Coturnix japonica: one gene and its partners. The protein of the gene in region 3 purifies or fractionates together with the protein of the main gene of each other region. This does not show direct contact. Links are inferred from orthologs where the notes say so. Each region holds a gene or a part of one and is shown on either strand. Other genes may lie near its edges.

Region 1 (4,162 bases), about 97 Mb from region 3:
TGCCTGTGCTGTTACAGCTGTTTACTTGAAACAAGCATTGAACCAGCTTTAAAAGTTATACTGGCATGGACCTTGTTTAAATAAACTTTCAGTTTTGGTATTATTTTTTTTTTATGTGTAATGACATTAATTTCAATCAGTTCTGTCTAAAGCATGTTCACATGTAAAAAAAACATACAAAGTTTGCTTAGCACTTAGTATTAATTCTAAAGATGCGCTTGTTATCCTCACATTACTTCAAGACGTTCATTAACAGTCTCAACTTTGTGATCTCCAACTGCAAATGAAATATTTATCTCCAGATAGAGGCTCACACACAACTTGGAGCCACATTCTTTATTAAAGCAGACAGAACCTCACCTGGATGCATCATACATGAGTTAACCTGAGTTAACTGCTTTACACTGCTAAAGCAGAACAAAGTAGTTCAGTTACAGCTGTACTCCATAGGCAGTAAAAAACAATCACAGTGCTCTGAAGAACTGAACTAAAATCAGTCATGCTGAAAAAGCTTTTTTCTTTCTGCGAGGTGGCTTCTTTATCTTATTTGGATTTGGAACAACTTTCTTGATTTTCAAAGGCTGCAAAATTACATGTGAGAGATGGAGCTGATTGCTTTCTGAACGCTTCCGCTTCTGGCTTGAGAGCTCCTCCTCCGGCGTCTCTGCAAGCTGCTCAGCTTCATCAATTTCTGACAACTCCGCACATGCAGCAGATCCTTCTGTTTGGAACTGAAACCACGGCACTTCCAAAGCAGGTATCTTTGGAATTATCGCTTCTACTACGTCAGTGAACTTATCAGACTGCCTTTTGAAGCCGAGCGCTAAAATGGATGTTAAGCCAAGAAGCGGTGCTACCGTTTCACTGAGGCGGGGAACCTGGCCTGCTGGCGTGGCTCGACTCGCGCTCAGCTGGATGAGATGGGATGTGATCATGGCAGGTTTGGCAGATTTGCACACCAACAAGAGAAGCAGCTCGTTTTTCTCCAACGCTTTTGTAACTTCATTAATTCCAATAGCAAGCTGCCTCCTGATGCCCACGTCAGTCCATCCCAGTGCTTGTCGATGGCCTTCAGTTTCTTTTTCAGCAGGGAGTTCGCTGTTGCTACCATCACACTTGCTTTCCACTTGGTTTTTTGTAGAACGTTTTTTCTTTCTTGGAGTCTCTATCTTTTTAAGTCCGATACGTTTAATCTTTTCTTCTAAGGTCTGCAATATGAAATGCATACCATCTCCATCTATGGCTTTCCATTCGAAAACAAAGGGGTTATCTAGACACGTTTTTACAGTGGTTTTCTTTGCTTTACGAAGCGACGCCGTCCCTTGTGGAATGACAGGCGTCCTCAGGTTCTGTTCTGTTTCGCCACCTAGCTGTGGAGGGAAGAAAAAGGCAGAGAGTCGTTCAAATCCTGCACTGTCTGCTGTGGACTTTGTTACAAGAGGCTCCTCTTGGGAATGGGGGAAAAAAGCAGCTCAAAGCAATACTGGCAGGAATCACCTTTATAGCAGCTCAGTGCTATATATATATCAGTGCTTAATAATCCTCCAGCAGGGCACAGGTTGCTTGCTTTTTTCCAGCAAGGCAATGCCAGTGATGGGAAACCTTTCTGAAGCTGAAACTGAATGGAAGTAGCAGGAAGTCCCACAGATAATGTTAATAATAAAGCTCAGGTTGTGAAAGACAAGTTTTCATTGCTGCACAGCTCCATTTTAGAACTATCCTGATGTGATAAAGCTGCAGAATCGCAGCATGAAACAATCTCCAAGTTCCTGAATTCATTTGGGATAAAGTTGTGGGTTTTTTTAATTTTCATGTGTTTTTTCTCACTTATCTATGTCTTACATTTATCTGCATTTAGAAGGTATGACAGAAGGCTGCAGAGCACATTTCTGTGGAGGAAAGCAATCCTCTGCAGGCCATGGAACATTCAGAAGGGTTCTTTGACTCCTGCATCAACTAGGCCGTGCCTTTAGGGTTATGAAAAAATCAAAGTGGTGCAAAGAAAGGGTCACTGTTCCAGTTCTGCTCTATCCAGTCCAAGTGAAGGCATGCTCTGATTACCAGCCCTGCCCACTCACTAAGTCCCCATACTCAAACCTGGGTTACTGTTCAGCATCTCCTGCTTTACATTGCACAGCCAACAGAACGTGATGAGAACTTGTGTGCCAACTCAGGAGGAACAGACACGGCTCTCCTTAGATCCCCTCCTTCCATAAGTAGAAATATTACAAACATTACTTCAGTGGCAACCTTTAGATATTTATAAGGCACCATTTATATCACATCAATTCCCTGCATGCTGATAACAGACTACCTTGGTTTTAAAAGAACACCTTTGTTGTGTATGTTGTGTATGTGAGAGCACACGCTGAAGCAGCCCGCGTCTGTCTTTTCAAGATGGAGGCTACTGAGGAAAACAATCGTGTAGGCACAGGAATCAAACTGACGGGGCACAACAAGCAAAACCCAACTTCTTCCAGGCCGATCAGCCGCAGGACCCGCCGCTGCCAGCAGAGGAGCTGAGAAACGCGAACAATTCCAACATTTACCTCCATTCCAACACTCCGGTTTCCAAACGCCTCGTGGAAGGCCCCGCCGGCTCCCGACCAGGACAACGCAGTTAAAGGCAGGAGCCACCACAGCGCCCTGACAACAGGCCGGACGGACGGAGATGGAGATGGAGCTGCCGCTCGGCTCAGCGCGGCCTCCACGCCGCGCTACCACCGGGCCCAGCGCTCCGGCACCGCCAGTACCGCCCGATCCACGCCGGCAGCTCGAACCCGCCCCGTCCCGCTCCGCCCCATCCGCCGCCGTGCTGCGGGGCCGCCGGGCGGGGGCAGCCGCGGTGCGAGGGAGCTGCTGCCCCTTCGGATCCTGTCACGGTGCTGTAGCGCATCTCTGCGAGGCGGTGATGCGGATGGCTCGGGGCTGCGGGATGCTTTGGGTTGGAGGAGGCGTCAGAGCCCCCCCACCCCCAGGGGCAGGGCCGCCCCCCACCAGCACAGCTGGCCCACGGCCCGTCCAACCCGGCCCCGAGCGGCTCAGCGCCCCGTGACGGCAGCGGGACCCGAGGGGAGGCGGCTGCCCGCTCTGCATCGCGCTGCGGGAGCGACACCGGACCGCGCGTGTCCGCCCGGCCATGGCCCTGCAGGTGAGCGGGGCGGGCGGTGGCACTGCGGCTCGGGGTGCGGAGCGGCGCGTTACGGTGTGTCCGCGCGGTGTGTCGGCACCCGCTGCTCGGGTGGGTTATCGATGGGAGCTGCGCTACGGGCGTCTGTGGGAAACGTGCGTTTCTAAGGGAGTTTGTAGAGCGTGCGTGTCTTTGGGGCGCTGCGTTTTGAGTGAGGTTTGGCAGGAAGGACGCTGCCTCCCTCTGTCCGTATCGGCGGCTCCTGGAGAAATCACCTTCGTCGCTGCCTTCCAGCGCTCCGCCTCTGCGCCACCTTTAAATGCCCAGGACTGGTTCGGCTGTTTAAGGGGTTTTCCGTTCTCCCTTTGGCTTTAAGACCCTCCAGCCCTTTCTGTTGCCTTCGTTTCCATGCTGCCTCGCCTCGCTCCGTGTATGCGAGGCCCCGTCGCGGGGCGCGTTGGCCGCAGCTCAGCGCTTGGAGCCGCAGCACAGAGGGTTCGTTGTTCTGCTGACCCCGCGCCCTCCATGGGCCGGGGCTGCCAAGTCCCGAGCGGAACAGCAGCTTTTGTTTAATTTTGCTGTGTTCTGCCTCGAATTCCTGCTAGAAAATAAAGTCTGGTGACTGGGAGGTTGTGGATGCCCCGTCCTTGGAGGTGTTCAAGACCAGGTTGGACAGGGCCCTGGGCAACCTGATCTAGTAAAGGTGTATGTTTGGTGGCCCTGCCAGGCAGGGGGGTTGGAACTACATGATCCTTGAGGTCCCTTCCAACCCGGGTCATTCTGTGATTCTGTGATTTCTGCATTTAGCTTTAATGCACGTGTGTAAATCTACGTCTGCATATGTATATGTCAACTGTAGACACGCTTCTGCTTTTGATTTGAGGAGTGAGAGGGAAATTCCATCAGCTCGTGATTAAAGGATATTATATTCTGCAGCTGCTCCTAAGCGTGTTGTGTAAGCAAGCAAATCCTAAGCAAAATCCGCGCACAAGGGTTGGATTGAGGGAGATGAAGAAAAGAATGTTTGAGGTG
Region 2 (4,018 bases), on a different chromosome or scaffold from region 3:
TTTTGCAATGAAAGCATTTTGACAAGAAGTTGAGCTGAGCATTTGAAAGCAAGTCAGTCAGACCACTTGCAGACGTTTAGGACCAACTGATCACATCAAGGCCCTTTACCCTTCTAGGATTTCTCCCAATCTTTTAGTCTGCCTGCTGCTGACCAGAGAACCTACATTGTTTAATTAGCCCCATGACATGGCTATATAGAATGGAAAACAAAACAAAGCATGCACTCAAAGCACTCCAAGACACTGATGGTTAGTGCCAGCTCTATGACAACTCACAGATAGTACTTACATGGAACAATTTCTCCGTCTTTGGAAATACAGCTATGATGTCATACAATCTTATATTTGCAGATGTAGATCTCTACAAAAGGAGGAAATAATTACTACCTTGACTTCTGGCAGGTGACAAGCATACACACAATGATTATAACCAAAATAATAATGAGAAAATTTCCTCACCATTTTCAAGCACCAAAACAAAGACGATAATCTAATTAAATAGTAGGTCTCTACTGTGAGCAATTCTCTGAGGTCATTTTGAGGCTTGTCCCATCCACTCACATACCTTTTGTCTCAAGCACACAGCTCCACAAACACACACTGGTCTCCCTCCTGGTATTCTAGTGTACACATGGAAGTCCAGAATTCAAATAAAAGAATAAAGGAACAGAACTGCTACCCCATACTAATAAGCGATCAGCACAATCACGTTCTGTTTCACAGACACTTGCGTGAGGGGTCATGATGCTTCAGATTCTAAAGATCTGGTCTGAGAAATCAGTACTGAGTATCCTATGAAATCCATTAAATCCAATACACAACTCCCAAAGTGTCATTCTTTCGTTGAGAAAATTAAATTAAAACAAACAAACAAACAAGCAGATACACTGAATGTACTTACCAAGAGATTACAGTGGGAAGGATCAGAAACAACAAGTGTCAGCCGGGTTAAGACTTTAAGTCTTTTAGATGTCCCCTATGATGGAAAAATAATATAAGATTTTAAAAGCTGACAAACTTTGTGGCAACCTTCACCCTGCCTACTATAAAAAGAAAGTTGTGCCTTGCACCAATTCTTGCCTATAATAATTTTCTGGAAGTCTGTAGTTATGCTTCCCTAATATAAAACATATATATTGTAACTGCCCTTCAGAAAGAAGGGCTCACTGTGTTTCTCTGAGGAGTGGATAAACTGAAAGGAAAAATTGCAGCTCAGTGTAACAACACATAGATGGAACGTAATAAACACACCTGCACAATAGGCAAAGATGGAAACAGCTCTGATGGAGACACCGGCTTGGCTATTTCCTTAAAAGAAAACAAAACAAAGTTATCCAAAATACAACAGGGATGTTTAGAATGTACACAGAAGTTGTGTTCCAACTCCAAAAATAAGCTTAACATACTAACAAAATATTTCCTAAGGACAATTCACAGACCATAGTAAAAATTAACTCCAGGGCAGTAATACAGGCTTATAAAATCAGAGTTCTGTTATAAATATAAATACAAATGCCTTCATTTAGGTGAGTGCGTAAAAACAAAGGATAGAGGAGTGGCACAGAGATTTACGAGAGCAAACACATCACCAACAAAGAAGCTGAACTGAAATTACCTGTTTCTTTTCTTTAAAATCGATGACGTGATTAAGAGCAACTGCAGAATATCCCACTAAAAAAGAAAACACATTGTGAGCCTGCTTTGATCAGCAAGTAATGGAAACAGACACAAGGAGAAAACTGTCACATGCTCATTATTTAAATATCTCAAAATCAATAACGATGTGCACATTTACCTTTCACAGTGAATTTTGCTCAATGTTAACTCAAAGATGTGTCTTAAGAGTACAATTTTTTCTTTTAGCACAAGCCAGCCTTTACAACACATCCTCACTGACTGACAGTAACAAGGACAAGGGACTGTGCACGGCCAGTGCTGGGGTACGCACAGAGATGCACGGTTACCTAATGGGTACAGCAGGGCAGGCTGAGGTGTGGCTGTGAGCCTGGGGTAGTGGGGTAAGCCACAGGCTGCCAGGTCCCGGCTCTGCATCGACACGAAGGCTGCGCCTTGCAGCAGCGGACTGGAAGATGCATTATGAGGGGAGATGTGACCACGATTGAAGGGTGATACAAACAGAAAGACTGCCGTGGTGGACAGGACTAGAGAAAGCCATAAAGCCTGTGCTGAAGATCAGTAACCCTGGAACAAGTTCTCTGCAGAGGTTGGAGAGTAACCGGAGATAATAACAGCGCTGTTCAGGCACAGCACAGACCCCGTGCCCTCGCTGGGCAGGGCAGGACCGGCGCATGGAGCTTCCGCCCCGTCCAGCCCCGCTTCTCCATCCTTCACGCCGCTGCTGCAGCCCTCAGCCAGCGCCGCCTTCCAGCACAGCCACCCCATCCTCAACAACACATCCACCCGCTCCCAGCCCCGACTCACGGTTCGCCGCAGCCTCCAGCACGCTCTGCACGGCCTTCCTATCCGCGCCCTGCGGGACGTTCAGATCGGCGAAGCCGGCCATGCTGCGCAGCACGGGGCGGAACGAAGGCTGTGAGCGCAGCCGGCACCGCCCCCGGCGGCCCGGAGCAACCTGGGGCTGGTAGTCCTGCTACGAGGAGCGGGATGGGCTCTGGACCAGCAGGCGGAGCTCTGGGTGATGGAGCGTGCGAGCTTTTATGCGCTCCTGAACGTGTCCGTGGGGGGCTGTGCTGCGAGCGGAGCAGTCGGGAGCTCGGGGTGTGTGCGCTGCCCAGCAGGGGGAGATGCGCTTCTGCTCCTCTTAGCGGCCGGATCGCCTCCCACCGAGCGCAGCTACTGTATGGCCCGAGGGGGGGTGGAACCGTTCCTAGTTAAGGCCATCGTTTTCCTGCGTTAACTAAAAAATGTGAAATAAAATCCTAGGTTGATTAGTCCCAGCTTCTCTAGAGATATTCCCTAAAATGCAAAAGAGATGAACAATTCCAGGAGACCACAAATCAAACATGCTTTGACTCTGTAGCACTGTTGAAAAACCCACCCATTTTATTGCTGCTAATCAGCACATATGTGAAATACAGGTGGTAATGACCACTTTTGTTGCTGTTTGGGACAGTTACAGCAGCTGCTAAAACAAGCAAGGCTGTGATTTCTTCACATCATCAAGGTGGTATTGGGAGGCCTCACAAGCCCTCTGCTTCCACTTCCTTGAGCCTGGAGGTTCAGTGGGTTATTTGGAATGCTAAACCCTTAACCAGGCAGAATTGCTCCAGCAATGCCCACAGCTCCCAGGCACGTCCCTGCCCACAGCACTGCTCCTTGGCACACTGAGGCCGAAGAGTTTATAAGCTCCCTTTAAACACAGAAAGGCTGCAACGAGATCTCCCTGGTGCCTTCCCCAGATTGAACAAACCTATCTCCAGGGAAGTACTCCAGCTCTCTGAGCACCTTCGTGGCCATCCTTGTGACCCATCACAACAGCTCCATATCACTCCTGTGCTGGGAGCCCCAGGCTTGGACACTGTGCTCCAGGTGGGGGCTCACAAGGACAGTACAGAGTGAAACAGTCACCTCCCTCTTCATGCTGCCACCCCTCTGTTGATGCAGCCCAGAATACAGTTGCTCTATGGGCTGCAAGTGCACACTGCTGGCTCATATCCAACTTTTTGTCCATCAAGTCTCCAAGTCTTCCTCAGCAGGGCTGCTCTCAGTGAGTTTTTCTCCCAGTCTGAATGTCTGGGGTTGCCCCAGCTCAAATACAACACCTTGAATTTGGCTGTGCTGAACCTCACTAGGTTTTTGTGGGTCCATTTTTCAAGCCTATCCAGGTCTCCCTGGAAGATGTTCCTTCCTCCTACGTTTCCTATGTTTCAGCAAATTCTGCTTTGGCCTATCTGTGCCCTTAACATGTTTCCTATTGGAATAGCCAGTGCTGCTTCTCTGCCAAATATCTGAACACACAGCCCAAATCAAATGGTCTTCTTAAGGCTTTTCTGTGAAGTGTGTGGACATGGGAGAACTCAAAGCATTATTTCAAGTG
Region 3 (3,962 bases):
TGATCAAACTTTAACTGCAGATGCGTCCTGTAACAAGGGTCAACTGTGCATCTCTGCTGGAATCATAAGGAGTAGTTAAGTGCATGCCACACATCATCCATATCTCAGTACACTTGAGTGCAAAGCTATATAGACATTATGACCTTGGCCAAAACAACACCATAACCCTCAGACAAATGGCATCAAGAAACATGCTCTTCAATGATGACAAGTGGGAAAAGTTAATCAGACTTGCTTTATACAGAGTTACTACCACAAGTACAGCATCTCTGTGCATACACACACATGAAATCACTGGAAATTAGAGGAGTTTAGTAAAGGAGGTACAAAGTATGGTGCAAATTGCACACAGGACTGTAGCAGAACCAGGAATACGACCCTTCTATGCTAATCCTCCCATCCATATGAAGCCCTGATTGAGCTCTATGCTCAGAACTGAGATGGAGCAGTTATTTCTTACGCAATTATTTGTTCAGTGGACTTTGAAAGTGCACTGGAACATGACCACTAAGTTCACCACTAACTCAGTTGGTGTTGGCCCTGCAAGTTCAACAACATGCTGCACAATAAGCAGCATTCCATTAACAACTACCAGCCAGCACAGGACATGGGAGCACAGTTAATCTATAGCAGAAGGCTATGTAAAGACTAAACCATTTGGTGCTGAAGAACCCTCACTTTCCACACCTCAGGTGCTCTCCTACCCACAGGCAATGCCAAGCTCTGGCTGCAACCATATCAAATCCACAGGGACAACAAAGCTTTAGTAAAGCTCCAAAGTGCCACAGGTGGACAAGTCGAAACCTGAGGGAACTGCGTTTATAACAGGAAAACGCAGCTTAATCCCGTTATTAAGAACCCCCAGACAGCACTGTGGTGACCCCCAGAGCTTACACAGCAGCCCACCACCCTTCATTAAACATACAAACCCCCCCGTTACCACACGGAACAATAAACCTCCAACAATCCTCCCCTACGAGCCGTACCTGTATGAACCCAGCGGCGTAGGAGCCTTAGCAGTGCTGATGATCTTCCTTACCACAGCAGCCATGGCGACAATCACCCTCACAGACCAACTCACTGTCCCTCAGCGCCCGCCTAAAAACCCTCCCCCGCCCGCCCCCCACACCTACTGCGTGTGGCTGCGCTGTGCGCATGCGCTGTAGGGGCTCGGGAGGCCTCGTGTAGCCAAGATGGCGGCGGCGGGCAGCCGTGTTCAGGAGGAGGTTGGCTGCTCTGCTGCGCTTTAGGCCCGTCGGAGCGACAGCAGGAGAGCTGTGAGCTCCGTGTCGAGCCGAGATGTCTACGGCGAGGGAGAAGAAGCGGGCCAGGAAGATGAGGAACCAGCCGGCCAGCGTCACGCTCCCGGCTGAGCCGGCGTCCTTTACAGGAGGCGGCAGCAGCAGCAGCAGGGCCTGCTCGGCTCCAGGTACGGCCTGCATCCCCCCGGCATGACTCACCCCCGGTCGCACTCACTAAGTGTGACCGCCCAGCCAGCTCCGTATCCAGACAGCGGGACATCCAGCACATCCCGCTGTTATCCTCTGTTGCGTCTGGGATGTCACGCAGGACAGTGTCTAACGATGTACTGTAACTTACTGCAGCAACATATGTGTGCCGTGCTTGCTTTATTGCTGCAAAAGAAATGCGTGTGTCTTACTGAGGATAAAAGGACAAAAATAGCTAAACTTACGGGGAAAAAAAATAAGAGGGGAAACTTTTGCTGACTAAACAACAGTAAGTTACTGTTGGCACTGTCACTGATGGCAGTCACGTGGGCTGATTTTGATCACAGAATCACATAACAGCTTGGGTTGAAAAGGACCACAATGATCATCCAGTTACAACCCCCTGTTCTGTGCAGGGTCACCAGCCACCAGACCAGGCTGCCCAGAGCTACATCCAGCCTGGCCTTGAATGCCTGCAGGGATGGGGCATCCACAGCCTCCTTGGGCAACCTGTTCAAGTGCGTCACCACCCGATGTGTGAAAAACTTCCTCCTTTATGTGACCTAAACCTCCCCTGTCACAGTTTAAAGCCATTCCCCCTTGTTCTATCACTATTCACCCTTGTAAACAGCTGTTCCCCCTCCTATTTAGATGCTTTATTGCGTGTTTATATCAGGTTTATATCAGGTTTATATCTTTCCCTTTGGGCTTCATTGATCCATTCCTGGATGACTTTGTATTTCTGTTATCTGTGTTCATTTCTAAACCTTTTAGGAGATGTTCGTTCTGAGCAGCAGTATCAACAGAAGAAATTTTTGCATCAGTCACCTGGGCCTCCCTACAGGAAAGAACAAAATAGAGGAGACTCAAGAGGCAGAGGAAGAGGAGGATGGCAAGGAGAACATCAGAATTCTTCAGAGGAAATGCCTAGATACATAACAGGTTTGTATGTATAAGAGAAGGTCAGAGTTTCCAGGGCAGCTTGCTAGAAGTTGCTTGTTGTCTGTCTTAGATTTTGCACAATAGCAAAAGTCAGAACGGATGTTTTGGTCAACATGTGTATTGTCTTTTGTTTTTCCTGATTTTCTCCAAAATACAGAAAAGTTTGTTTACTGAAATGAATTACCAGCTGTTGTTCAGTGAGTCCTTTCAGACTTCTGAGTTGAAAAATTGCACTCCTTATAACGAGGGCATGCATTTGGATCACGGTTTACCAGGAAAATGAATACTGACAGCCATCTGTTTTCAATGTAGTCAGTGGAACTGTTTATGCTCATGTTGTGAGTTAAAGAAACTTTTAACAGAACGTTTGTTTAGGAAAGCAAAGAGACAAATTAGTTTTTCAAATTATGGTGGTGCTATGATAATGAATACACTTCCATAAGCATTAAACGAAATCAACCTCTGACTCCTTGATTTGATCATCTTAAAACAGTTTGCAGTCTGATCATTGCTTCCTGCTTTTTTTTCCATGATTAAGTTTTTCCATCTGTCTGAATAATACATGAAAACATGGCTGCCATAGTAAAGAAGTACTTTGTGCAAATAGAACATGTTGCTTATACCTCAGCTCTCAGTATTTGCCTAAACATATTGGTGAGGATATTTGAAGAATAGAAATTACTTCTGTAATAGACAGTAGAGGATATTTTTGTTTTATCTCATGAAGTCAGTAGACTGGTGTACTAGGAATACTCTGCTGGAGTTCACTAACCTATGTACGTTGTCCCTTTCCTTTTATCTTTGCCATTTGCCATGTTCTGATGGAGTTCTTTTCATTCCAGTGTCTACCTTTGCTGAAGCTCGTGCTGCTGAGCTCAAAGCCATGCTGAAAGCAGTTGCGCAGAAGTCTTCCAACTCTCTAGTGTTCCAGACTCTGCCCAGGAGCATGCGAAGGCGAGCTATGAGTCACAATATTAAGCGCCTACCCAGGCGGCTGCAAGAGATTGCCAGAAAAGAGGTATACGTGTAGTTTATAGTATTTGATGAGGTGTATAGTGGATGTAACTATTGTGCGGTGCTGTACGTTTATTACAGTTCACAGCTGAGCTTGCCTGCAAAGCTTCCTTATATACAAAGGCTGACAAGCTTGGGCTGACATTTGGATGCAAAACCTACATTTTAGTAGATCTCAGTGTAATTGTCAATAATGTCTTGGATTCATCGTTGTTCTATGTCTTGAGAAGTTACTGGAGTCATGATGATAAAACCCCCTACTGCAGGACTGTTTGTTTTGGGTGGTATATCAAGGTCTCAGGTGATGTAGGACTCTTCAGTAACACCTGCCTATCTTGCAGCTCACCACTGCTTTGAGCTGTGACTTTGCACAACTGAAGCCAGCACAACTTGTTCATAACTGGCACAGTATAGCTCAGACAGGGTCAGCACAGTGGAGCAGTAGACAGGTTGCATGCAGCTTGAGACCATTCCTGGTCGTGAAGCTCATTTTGGAGTAGTGTCTTAACATTTAGTCGGGATGCTCTTATAAATTTACTTATTCCTTACTTGCTGTGG
Region 4 (3,811 bases), on a different chromosome or scaffold from region 3:
GCCCAGCCATGACCCAGAGATTCATACCTGAGCTGAGGATAGTGGTCAAGCCCAACCAAGACCCCAGATCAACTGGCACATCTCTAGTAGATCCACACTCTCAAGGTCAAGCCATGAAGTAAGCCCAGCAGCCAGGACCAGCAATAGCTAAGCAGCTCTCCAGTCAACCCGTAGATTGAGGTCCATATGAGTAGCACCAGAAACAAGCTTAGCTATCCCTAAATGGGAGACCAGCTCACAATAGATCCCAAATTAGAGCTGAAAGCTGTAAATATGAGCTTACACAGGGCTTTGGGACCATACAAAGGTTGTGGGGCTGGGGTCCCTCAATTATTCCTCTTGCTCGTTGTGTTATGGCTTTACAAAGGGGTTTCAGTGGGGAGCCAGATGCATAGTGTCTCGCTTAGGGATGTCACTGTTATAGGTGCTGTCCCACGTGCAATGTGACGAGCACCTGAGACCTGAGCCACCCCGATGTGACGCAGAGATGGACGGAGACTTTCCTCATATCGCATGCTTCAACTTTCCGAACTGCTCCCACATTCAGCAGATGAAAGAAAATATAGCGAGGGCAGGTGGAGGGCAGGGGCTCACGTTACTGCTGCTCCAGCTTTCACCATCTCTCTCTCCTGTTTTAACCGATTCCCTGTACTTTTCATGTAGTGCTTTTATCCCCTCAGCCCTCCTTTTGTCCCTTTCCCATCCTGCTGCTCCTCAGCTTGGAATAACTGCTGTTGTCCTCCAGCAAACACACAGTGACAGGGTAATGAATGGCTTCAGATGGTAATTAGCGATGGAGCTGCTAATAACACGATTCATTTCCATTTTAAGTGCCGCAGAACGCTGCGATAAAATGGACCACGGGTGGCAGGATTTGATCCCACAGCGCAGTTTTCCTCCCTGCTGTGTGAATGGTTGTTGAAATCCTTCCTTGTTATTTTCCTAGGGGCTTTAGCATCTTTCAGAAGCAGTGTTTTGCCACAGAGGCTTTAATCTGTTTCAGCCACGCCATTGGCTCTGCCTCAGTTTCTCCTCTTGGGGTTGTCCCAACAGTGGTACCCACTCTTGCTGCATTGGGGCAGCGGGGATGGGGCTGGCCGATCCATTCATTTATTTATGGATTTTGCAAGCCCTATTCGGGGTGAAAATAATCCCAGGTCCTCCAGAGGCCGATAAGATTTGGCAGCAAGGCAATACTCGGCATCTCTTTCCACTGTGCAATGATCCGGAGGCTGGGGCGGGGGGAGCAGGGGACAACTGCTGCTGTTTGCGGGCGGCTTGGTGTCCTTGAGAGAAGGGACGAGGTTCTCTTTAAGGGGGCAGGACTTGGGGAGCATCACAAAGCCAGGAGAGAGCTTCTCCCTCTGCCCACCCAGGGATGGAAGCAGCAGCAGGGTGCTGGGATGGGAGGCTGAGCGAGGGGAGGAGGAGGAGGAGAAGGAGGGGAGGGAGGGGAGGGAGAGGGGGAGGATCTGCTAATTACACAGAACAGCTCTGGGGGCTGCTGAAGTCCAGAATGAAGCAAAGAGCGGCAGAAGCAAGCGCTGCAGAGGGAACAGAGGAGCCTGAGCACTGCCGAGAGCTGCAGCCAGCAGCGAACGGGGGCACCCAGGGGATCCTACAGCTCTGGCCTCCCCTGGGGACAGCCAGCACCAGGACGAGGAGAGGGGAAGGGGCTGGGGGTCCTGGGGACGTGACGTTGGAGCTGGAGGAAGGCAGCGGGGGCTAAGTGTGGGGTGAGGGATGGCGGCCAAGCCCATTGCCCAGTGTAGGATGGAGAACTTCCGAAAGGTCAGGACGTCAGAGGAGGACAGCCCCTTGCCCTTCCCTGACTTACCCCCAGGTGTGGTGGAGATGAAAGTGAAGGAGGGCAGCAAGATCAGGAACCTGATGAGCTTCGCCATGGCTCAGATGGAGCTGAAGGGCAGCAGGCAGATTGTCTTCAGCGGCTGCGGCAGAGCGGTCACCAAGACCATCACCTGCGTGGAGATCATGAAGAGAAAGCTGGGGGGTCTGCACCAGGTCACCAAGGTACGCTACAAAACCTTGCTGGAGGTCTGGGAGAACCAGGACCCGCTGCCTGGCACTGCAGCACAGAATCTGACCGTCCATAAGAACGTCCCTTCCATCTGCATCCTGCTCTCCCGTGACCCCCTGGACCCCAACCAGACGGGCTACCAACCCCCTGAGCCCAGAGAGGCAGGAGAAGACCCCACGAGCTCCTCGGCCAAGGGGCTGAAGCGGCCCCCACCGCCTGCCCGTGAGGAACTGCTGCCCAAGAAGCTGCAGGTAGCGGGAGCCAGCAGCCCGCAGGGCTCGGGGACAACAGACAGCCAGATGGACGGCCACTACTGACCCTATGACATGCTCACAGCAGGGTCTGGGGGGGCTACTGACCCCACGCAGAACACATCCTTGTATCCCACTGGCTCCCCATTTTATGAAGGGCGGCTGCAGTGTGTAGGTCTGTGGGAAAACCTCCCCTCTCCAAACTTTTCCTCCCTTTTGCCTGGTGCTGCGAGCACTTGTAGGGATGCGGAGCTACTCGTGCCTCCTGTCAGCCCTGCTAAATAGCCCCCTGCACAGCAGACCTCCAGGACTCCCATAGAGCTGAAGCATCCTTTGGATTCTCCCCAGATTGGGAAATGCAGCTGCATGCCTCCGCTCTGCATCGGGATGTCTCAGCCAGCTGCAAAGAGCCCATCAGAGTAACACCTTCATTGCAATTAACCCCCGAGAGGAGCTGTCAGGTTTATTAATGCTGGGCTCCGTGCCTCGTGGCTCCTGTGATTCATCCTGAATAGCACAAACAAGCAGATGGGTCCTGCTCCCTCTCACCCAGCTCCCTGCTTTGTCTCTGCTCCTTCCTCTCCTCTGTGGCATCGTTGCTATTTTGTGCTTTGCTCTGAAATACCCCAAGCTGATCCTTCCTCTCTCAGAACTGCTGCAGCCTGAGAGCCAAAGAAACAAGCCCTGGAGCACTGCTGTTCATTTCAATAGCAGCCCCTCCAGTGAACAGGAATGGAAATAACCCCTCTTCCCACATCATATATTCAAGTTTTTCCTCTCCCGGAGGTGTTTGCAGCCATGGTGAAAGCATGATGACGAAGACAACAGGGAGCATCAGGTGGATCATCTACAAGCTGATGGACAGATGCTGGGATGAAGAGGAACTTTGTAGGTTTGGCTGCGGATTATTCGCTATGGGCTGGCTCCCCAGAATAGCCCTTTGGAGTGAAACACCCGCTTTTTCTATGGGTAAAAGGAAACCAATGGAAAATAAAAGCTCTTTAGAAATAATTGAAGTATGTCTATGGGGAAATGGGGGGGGTGAGGGTGGGGGTCGTCTTTGCCACTGACCATGGCACAGATGGGTACAGTGAGGGCGAGACTGTGGCTGCTGCTGAGGCAGAACAAGGGGATCCTGGCCAAATCCTGCCTCTTGGGGATGAGGAATCAGGGCCAGCTTCTTTGCATGCCCTGGCAGTCATCTGGCCCCAGCTGACATGGCAAAGCCCCCCATGGAGCTCCATCTGCCCCACGTCAGCCCCTTGCCATCACGTGGGGACCAAAGCAATGCAGAGATGGGTTGTGGGAGGCCAACTGAACCCAAATCCACCTGGGTCCCCTGCCCAAGCAGGACAGATTCAGTTGGCTCCAGACAACGCAGCCTTGGGATGGAGTCAGCGGACATCACTGCTTTGCCAAAGGCTGGCTTGGAAAGTGCTTTGTTTGGCTGGGAGAGGGAATGGAAGGAGACCAGGGGAGCGAGAAAGAAGAGGAAGGGGGAGTAAAGGGGGGTGGGTTGTTT
Region 5 (4,077 bases), on a different chromosome or scaffold from region 3:
GATACAAGCTGAACAGGCAGCAATGATTGATCCAGGAGCAATCACATAAAAGCAGTTACCAGCTGCAGTCTCCTTACACAGTGACAGGTGTTATTGCTGCCTTCTGAACGAAGCAGGCTCTGTAAGCAAGTTATAAGATAAAACATTCACTGAACAAATATACAGTCAAAATAGAAACAAAAACCAGGTAATCAGTACTAATCACAAGTTTAATAAAAGGCAGAACATTACACACAAGTAAAAGATACAACTAAGACTTCAGCAGTTTGACAGACTGCTTTAAAGATGAAACCAGTCATTCTTCAGTATGAAGAAACACTTCAGAAAAATCTCAGCTAGTTAACTCTGTCTTTCAGTCTGCCAGAAAACCTGTTTTGTAAACTGAAGGAGAACAGCAGACATCTTAATTAAACTTCCTTTTGATTTGCTATGAAATCATAGGTCAATAGTTCCTTTCAGCTTGAACTTCTTTGCAGACCGCTCACTTGCTCGAAGCTGGAACTTGCTTCCATAGATGTAGGAAATGAATCCATCAGTCTCCACACTGAATACGTTGTTAATTTTGGGAACAACTGAAAAATGGAGAAGTAGCATTATGCATAGATACTGGTGTACCAGGGAATACTATTCACATGCAGGCTTCAGGTTCATAACATGTCAAGGTTTAATGCTGCAGTGTGAGAAATACACTCAATACAGCCTGTACATTTAAGGGCAAAACTGACAGAATTCAGTCCTTGTTCACAAGTGTGCAGTAAGAGTTGCAGAGAACGATCTACAGTGAATCAGATGAATGAACCATGTGCATAATCATGTTATAAATCACTGGAAATATGTTTTTAAATTACTTCTAAGGTACATTATTGGGTTTTTACATGTCAGATAAAGACATGAACTTCTGCCACTATGCAAAGAATTACAAGCAGTGGTAAAGAACAATGTATGTATGTGCTCATACATTTACTCAGAAGTATAATAATATGATCGATTCTCAGTAACTCACATTATAACAAGCACTGAAAAACATTTGCCATACCTTTTAGTTTGTTGTCTTTAGTAATAATCTTGAAGACATGTTTGAATTCCTGTAGGATTATTCCCGTTATCCCAACATAAGATGGACACTTTGATTTTGTGACTGAAAGAACAAGAATAGGAATGTGTTAGAATAAATTCAGGTGCAGCTGGTTTGCTGTTCCATTATTGCCTCATCATTTTAGAAGTCTGAGATAATAGTCTGAAGTAATTATAGTGATAACTGGTAGAGCAGTTGAAAAGTTAAGCAGCACTGGTAAATGGAGAAAGAATCCATCAACACAATTACATTATCCTAGAGTTGATACTGAAAGGAATTCAATGAGCACCTGAAACATAAGAAAGTACAGCAAATCTCAGATAACTGCAGAATAAAGCAAACAATACCTGTAACAACAGCTCCATGGAGGTCAGCTTTCAGCAGTTTGCTCTGCACCATCTGTGGTTGCCTTGAAGAAAAGGGTAGGATCAGAGAGGGGAAAAAAATACATGGAAAAGCATGTTTATAAGGTGTGACTGTGCCTATTGAAATACTGGTCAAAGCTTACAGAAATAGCATATATCCTTATTAAATAATTGACATTTAAGTTTAATCAAATTACTACTTGAAATGCCTTAAAAAATGGTGGTGGTTAGATTAGCTAAACTTACGCATCTGGTTTAAGTCCATAACACAGGTCTCTGATGTATTGCTTCCAGAGTTCATGTAGTGGTAGAAATAGTTCATATCTGCAGTTAGAAGGCAAATATTTTACAATAACTTAATTATATATATTATAATATATTATATTGTAGATTGTCTTAGTAAGCAGAGTTAAAACTAAGAATTACACATGTTATCAGCTGCACAGATCACTTAGTAAACCACTCCAAGTAAAGCTGAATATGCTCCGAACAAACCCAAGGGGAGGGATGTGTTTAAGAGCTTTCTGCTCCTCTTTCTCCCCCTTGCTTCCTTTTAGGAGCAGCACTGGCCTTACTCAGCATGTCCTGGGTCAAGGAACATAATGCAAAATGGAGATTCACTGGTTGCAGCCATTCTGGGGATTAGAATTGAAGTCACAGGTGGCAGCACTTAGGAAAGAACTGGTCAGGGATGAGCTCATCCAACAGGCAGCCCAGGTTATAGCTGTGCTGTGGTTTAGTGCCACAGAGCACACAAACTCACTCTCATACCTCTGCTGCTCAGGCTCGATATCAAACAGCCCCAGCTCCCTCCTCTGTTTGGCTGTGAAGGTTTTTGTTTTCCTTCTCTTTGGCTTCTTCCTCCTCCTGCAGTGGTGCTCCAGAACCACGGCCTTCCGCGTTAGCACATCCTGGATGGCTTCGTCCTTCTTCTTGGGCATGCTGCGCTTCAGGAAGGCGCTCACAAACGCTCTGGCCTCCTCTGACCCTTGGGGCTAAAGGTGTTTAAAAACAGACTTTAATTAAATTAGAGCCCGGCTGCCCGCCGAGCTGAGGCAGCGCTGGGCAGAGGCTGTGGGGGTACATGGGAGCGGTACCTGTAGGCATAGCTCCTTCGCCGCCTCGCGGGGCAGCCCGCTGTACAACACACCTGCGGGCAGACAGCGGGCTCAGCCGGCCCTTCATCTACCTCCTCATCCTCATCCTCCTCCCGTCCCGTCCCATCCCTGTACTCACCCTCCATCTCGATGCTCCGGCGCAGCCGTGACGTGTGTGCGACCGGGGCGGGCCTGGCTGCATCCCCCCCTTCCCCTCCAGTGCGGCAGGTGGAGCTGCAGGACAGTGCCGCTCTATCAAGCGCTTCCCAACGCTCTGTGTGCCGGGGTGGGGGCTACGGAACCCGAGCTCAGCCCCCTGCAGCAGTAGGAACTTTGGGCCTGAGCATGGCAGTTTAGTACGAGGATACACATCCATGTGCACGCAGCATCTCCTGCTCTTCCGAGGGGTTCGCCCCTTCCAGCCCTGCTGCACTCCCACACCTCTTGGCACAGAGGTGCTCTGGAAACAGTACCACAAGTTCCTCAGCTTAGCAAGTCCAAGCTCACATTAAAATAGAGGTGTTTGTATTCCTATCACGGGGTGGGTATCAGCCACACGTGTAACTAAGTGCCCCCTGGGGAAGGAGGCTGACAGAGCTGCCATGACAGAGCATAGGAAATGTGAGCATTGTGTTGAGTGCTGCTGTGGAGCACAGAGGTACTAAAGCAGTGTGTAACAAGGGACAAAACTGCAGATAAATGTGTATTTGTAGAGAAAAAAAGGCCAGTCCCTTCAGATTAATAAGCACAAGCACTGGTTGGTTTGTGTAACAACCAGAAAGATCAATGTGATGGAAAGGTGATACAAGAGCTGTAATAATAAAGGGACTAATACAACAGAATGGTGTTAAAAAGGAAGGATAAAGGTCTGCTCACCCATCTCTGAAGATTAAGGTCACAGGCTTCACCAAGGAGGGATCTCCAACCAGAGAACCTTCCCTGGTGGCAGTCAGCCCTTAAATGAGGTGTAAGAGGTGCAGCCAGGCTCCACCCTTCCACTCACAAAGAGAATTGCCTCCACTTGTGCTCTCAGGGCTGAGCAGGTCCTTTCTCAGGTGCCCAGTGATTCAGGCTGGGACTCAACAGTTCCCATACAGCGTGTATGAAAGGTCTCTTGGCAGTGTAGGATGTTGCCACAGCAAACAGGTGCCTTGTTTTTACAAAGCAGGGACTCCTTGAGTTGTCATTGCTATTTAAGAAAAGATCAGTTTTCATGAATGGAGTGCCAGGATGAACGCTATGGGTCTTCAGGGCCGTATGAGTGCTCCTTGGCTGGATTTATGCTGCAGTTCCTAAGGCACTTAAGGGATTAATAGTCAAATCGGTGTTGGTGATGCCAGTGTAGTAAATCCAATGATCCAGGCTAAACAGGTGCCTGGGGAAGCCAGTCTCTTCCAACAGCTCTACATCTTCATTTCCCAATCTATCTTCAGAGACAGTGTCTGATAGAGCTGGGTCAGCTTGTTAGTGTGTGTTCCAGGGAAAGGGCTCTGAGCTGGGAGTGGGACTCAATCAAATAAACATGAAAAAGAGCAGGAGG

Evidence for each region.
Region 1: the proteins of POP1 (region 3) and RPP38 purify together in Homo sapiens (affinity purification with mass spectrometry; 3 studies listed by BioGRID and IntAct, with this or other methods). This does not show direct contact. The link is inferred for Coturnix japonica from reciprocal best matches to the Homo sapiens genes POP1 and RPP38.
Region 2: the proteins of POP1 (region 3) and RPP30 purify together in Homo sapiens (affinity purification with mass spectrometry; 5 studies listed by BioGRID and IntAct, counting the BioPlex papers as one, with this or other methods). This does not show direct contact. The link is inferred for Coturnix japonica from reciprocal best matches to the Homo sapiens genes POP1 and RPP30.
Region 4: the proteins of POP1 (region 3) and RPP25 purify together in Homo sapiens (affinity purification with mass spectrometry; 3 studies listed by BioGRID and IntAct, counting the BioPlex papers as one, with this or other methods). This does not show direct contact. The link is inferred for Coturnix japonica from reciprocal best matches to the Homo sapiens genes POP1 and RPP25.
Region 5: the proteins of POP1 (region 3) and POP4 purify together in Homo sapiens (affinity purification with mass spectrometry; 5 studies listed by BioGRID and IntAct, counting the BioPlex papers as one, with this or other methods). This does not show direct contact. The link is inferred for Coturnix japonica from reciprocal best matches to the Homo sapiens genes POP1 and POP4.

Annotation. Positions count from the first base shown.
Region 1 is NC_029517.1:18,769,233-18,773,394, forward strand, and holds RPP38 (ribonuclease P protein subunit p38), read right to left. Parts: upstream 2,806-4,162; 5' UTR 2,556-2,805; coding exon 2,550-2,555; intron 1,371-2,549; coding exon 498-1,370; 3' UTR 322-497; downstream 1-321. Other genes in the region: ACBD7 (acyl-CoA-binding domain-containing protein 7), read left to right, coding at 3,140-3,151. UniProt on the Homo sapiens protein: Component of ribonuclease P, a ribonucleoprotein complex that generates mature tRNA molecules by cleaving their 5'-ends. Also a component of the MRP ribonuclease complex, which cleaves pre-rRNA sequences.
Region 2 is NC_029521.1:17,047,703-17,051,720, reverse strand, and holds the start of RPP30 (ribonuclease P protein subunit p30), read right to left. Parts: upstream 2,811-4,018; 5' UTR 2,525-2,810; coding exon 2,443-2,524; intron 1,672-2,442; coding exon 1,616-1,671; intron 1,309-1,615; coding exon 1,252-1,308; intron 977-1,251; coding exon 902-976; intron 362-901; coding exon 290-361; intron 1-289. UniProt on the Homo sapiens protein: Component of ribonuclease P, a ribonucleoprotein complex that generates mature tRNA molecules by cleaving their 5'-ends. Also a component of the MRP ribonuclease complex, which cleaves pre-rRNA sequences.
Region 3 is NC_029517.1:115,453,790-115,457,751, forward strand, and holds the start of POP1 (ribonucleases P/MRP protein subunit POP1), read left to right. Parts: upstream 1-1,162; 5' UTR 1,163-1,299; coding exon 1,300-1,429; intron 1,430-2,222; coding exon 2,223-2,390; intron 2,391-3,232; coding exon 3,233-3,408; intron 3,409-3,962. Other genes in the region: RIDA (2-iminobutanoate/2-iminopropanoate deaminase), read right to left, coding at 987-1,051. UniProt on the Homo sapiens protein: Component of ribonuclease P, a ribonucleoprotein complex that generates mature tRNA molecules by cleaving their 5'-ends. Also a component of the MRP ribonuclease complex, which cleaves pre-rRNA sequences.
Region 4 is NC_029525.1:1,715,823-1,719,633, forward strand, and holds RPP25 (ribonuclease P protein subunit p25), read left to right. Parts: upstream 1-1,468; 5' UTR 1,469-1,743; coding exon 1,744-2,355; 3' UTR 2,356-3,300; downstream 3,301-3,811. UniProt on the Homo sapiens protein: Component of ribonuclease P, a ribonucleoprotein complex that generates mature tRNA molecules by cleaving their 5'-ends. Also a component of the MRP ribonuclease complex, which cleaves pre-rRNA sequences.
Region 5 is NC_029526.1:7,094,782-7,098,858, reverse strand, and holds POP4 (ribonuclease P protein subunit p29), read right to left. Parts: upstream 2,802-4,077; 5' UTR 2,684-2,801; coding exon 2,677-2,683; intron 2,591-2,676; coding exon 2,538-2,590; intron 2,457-2,537; exon of another isoform or gene 2,436-2,456; coding exon 2,212-2,435; intron 1,765-2,211; coding exon 1,687-1,764; intron 1,485-1,686; coding exon 1,423-1,484; intron 1,139-1,422; coding exon 1,037-1,138; intron 573-1,036; coding exon 436-572; 3' UTR 191-435; downstream 1-190. UniProt on the Homo sapiens protein: Component of ribonuclease P, a ribonucleoprotein complex that generates mature tRNA molecules by cleaving their 5'-ends.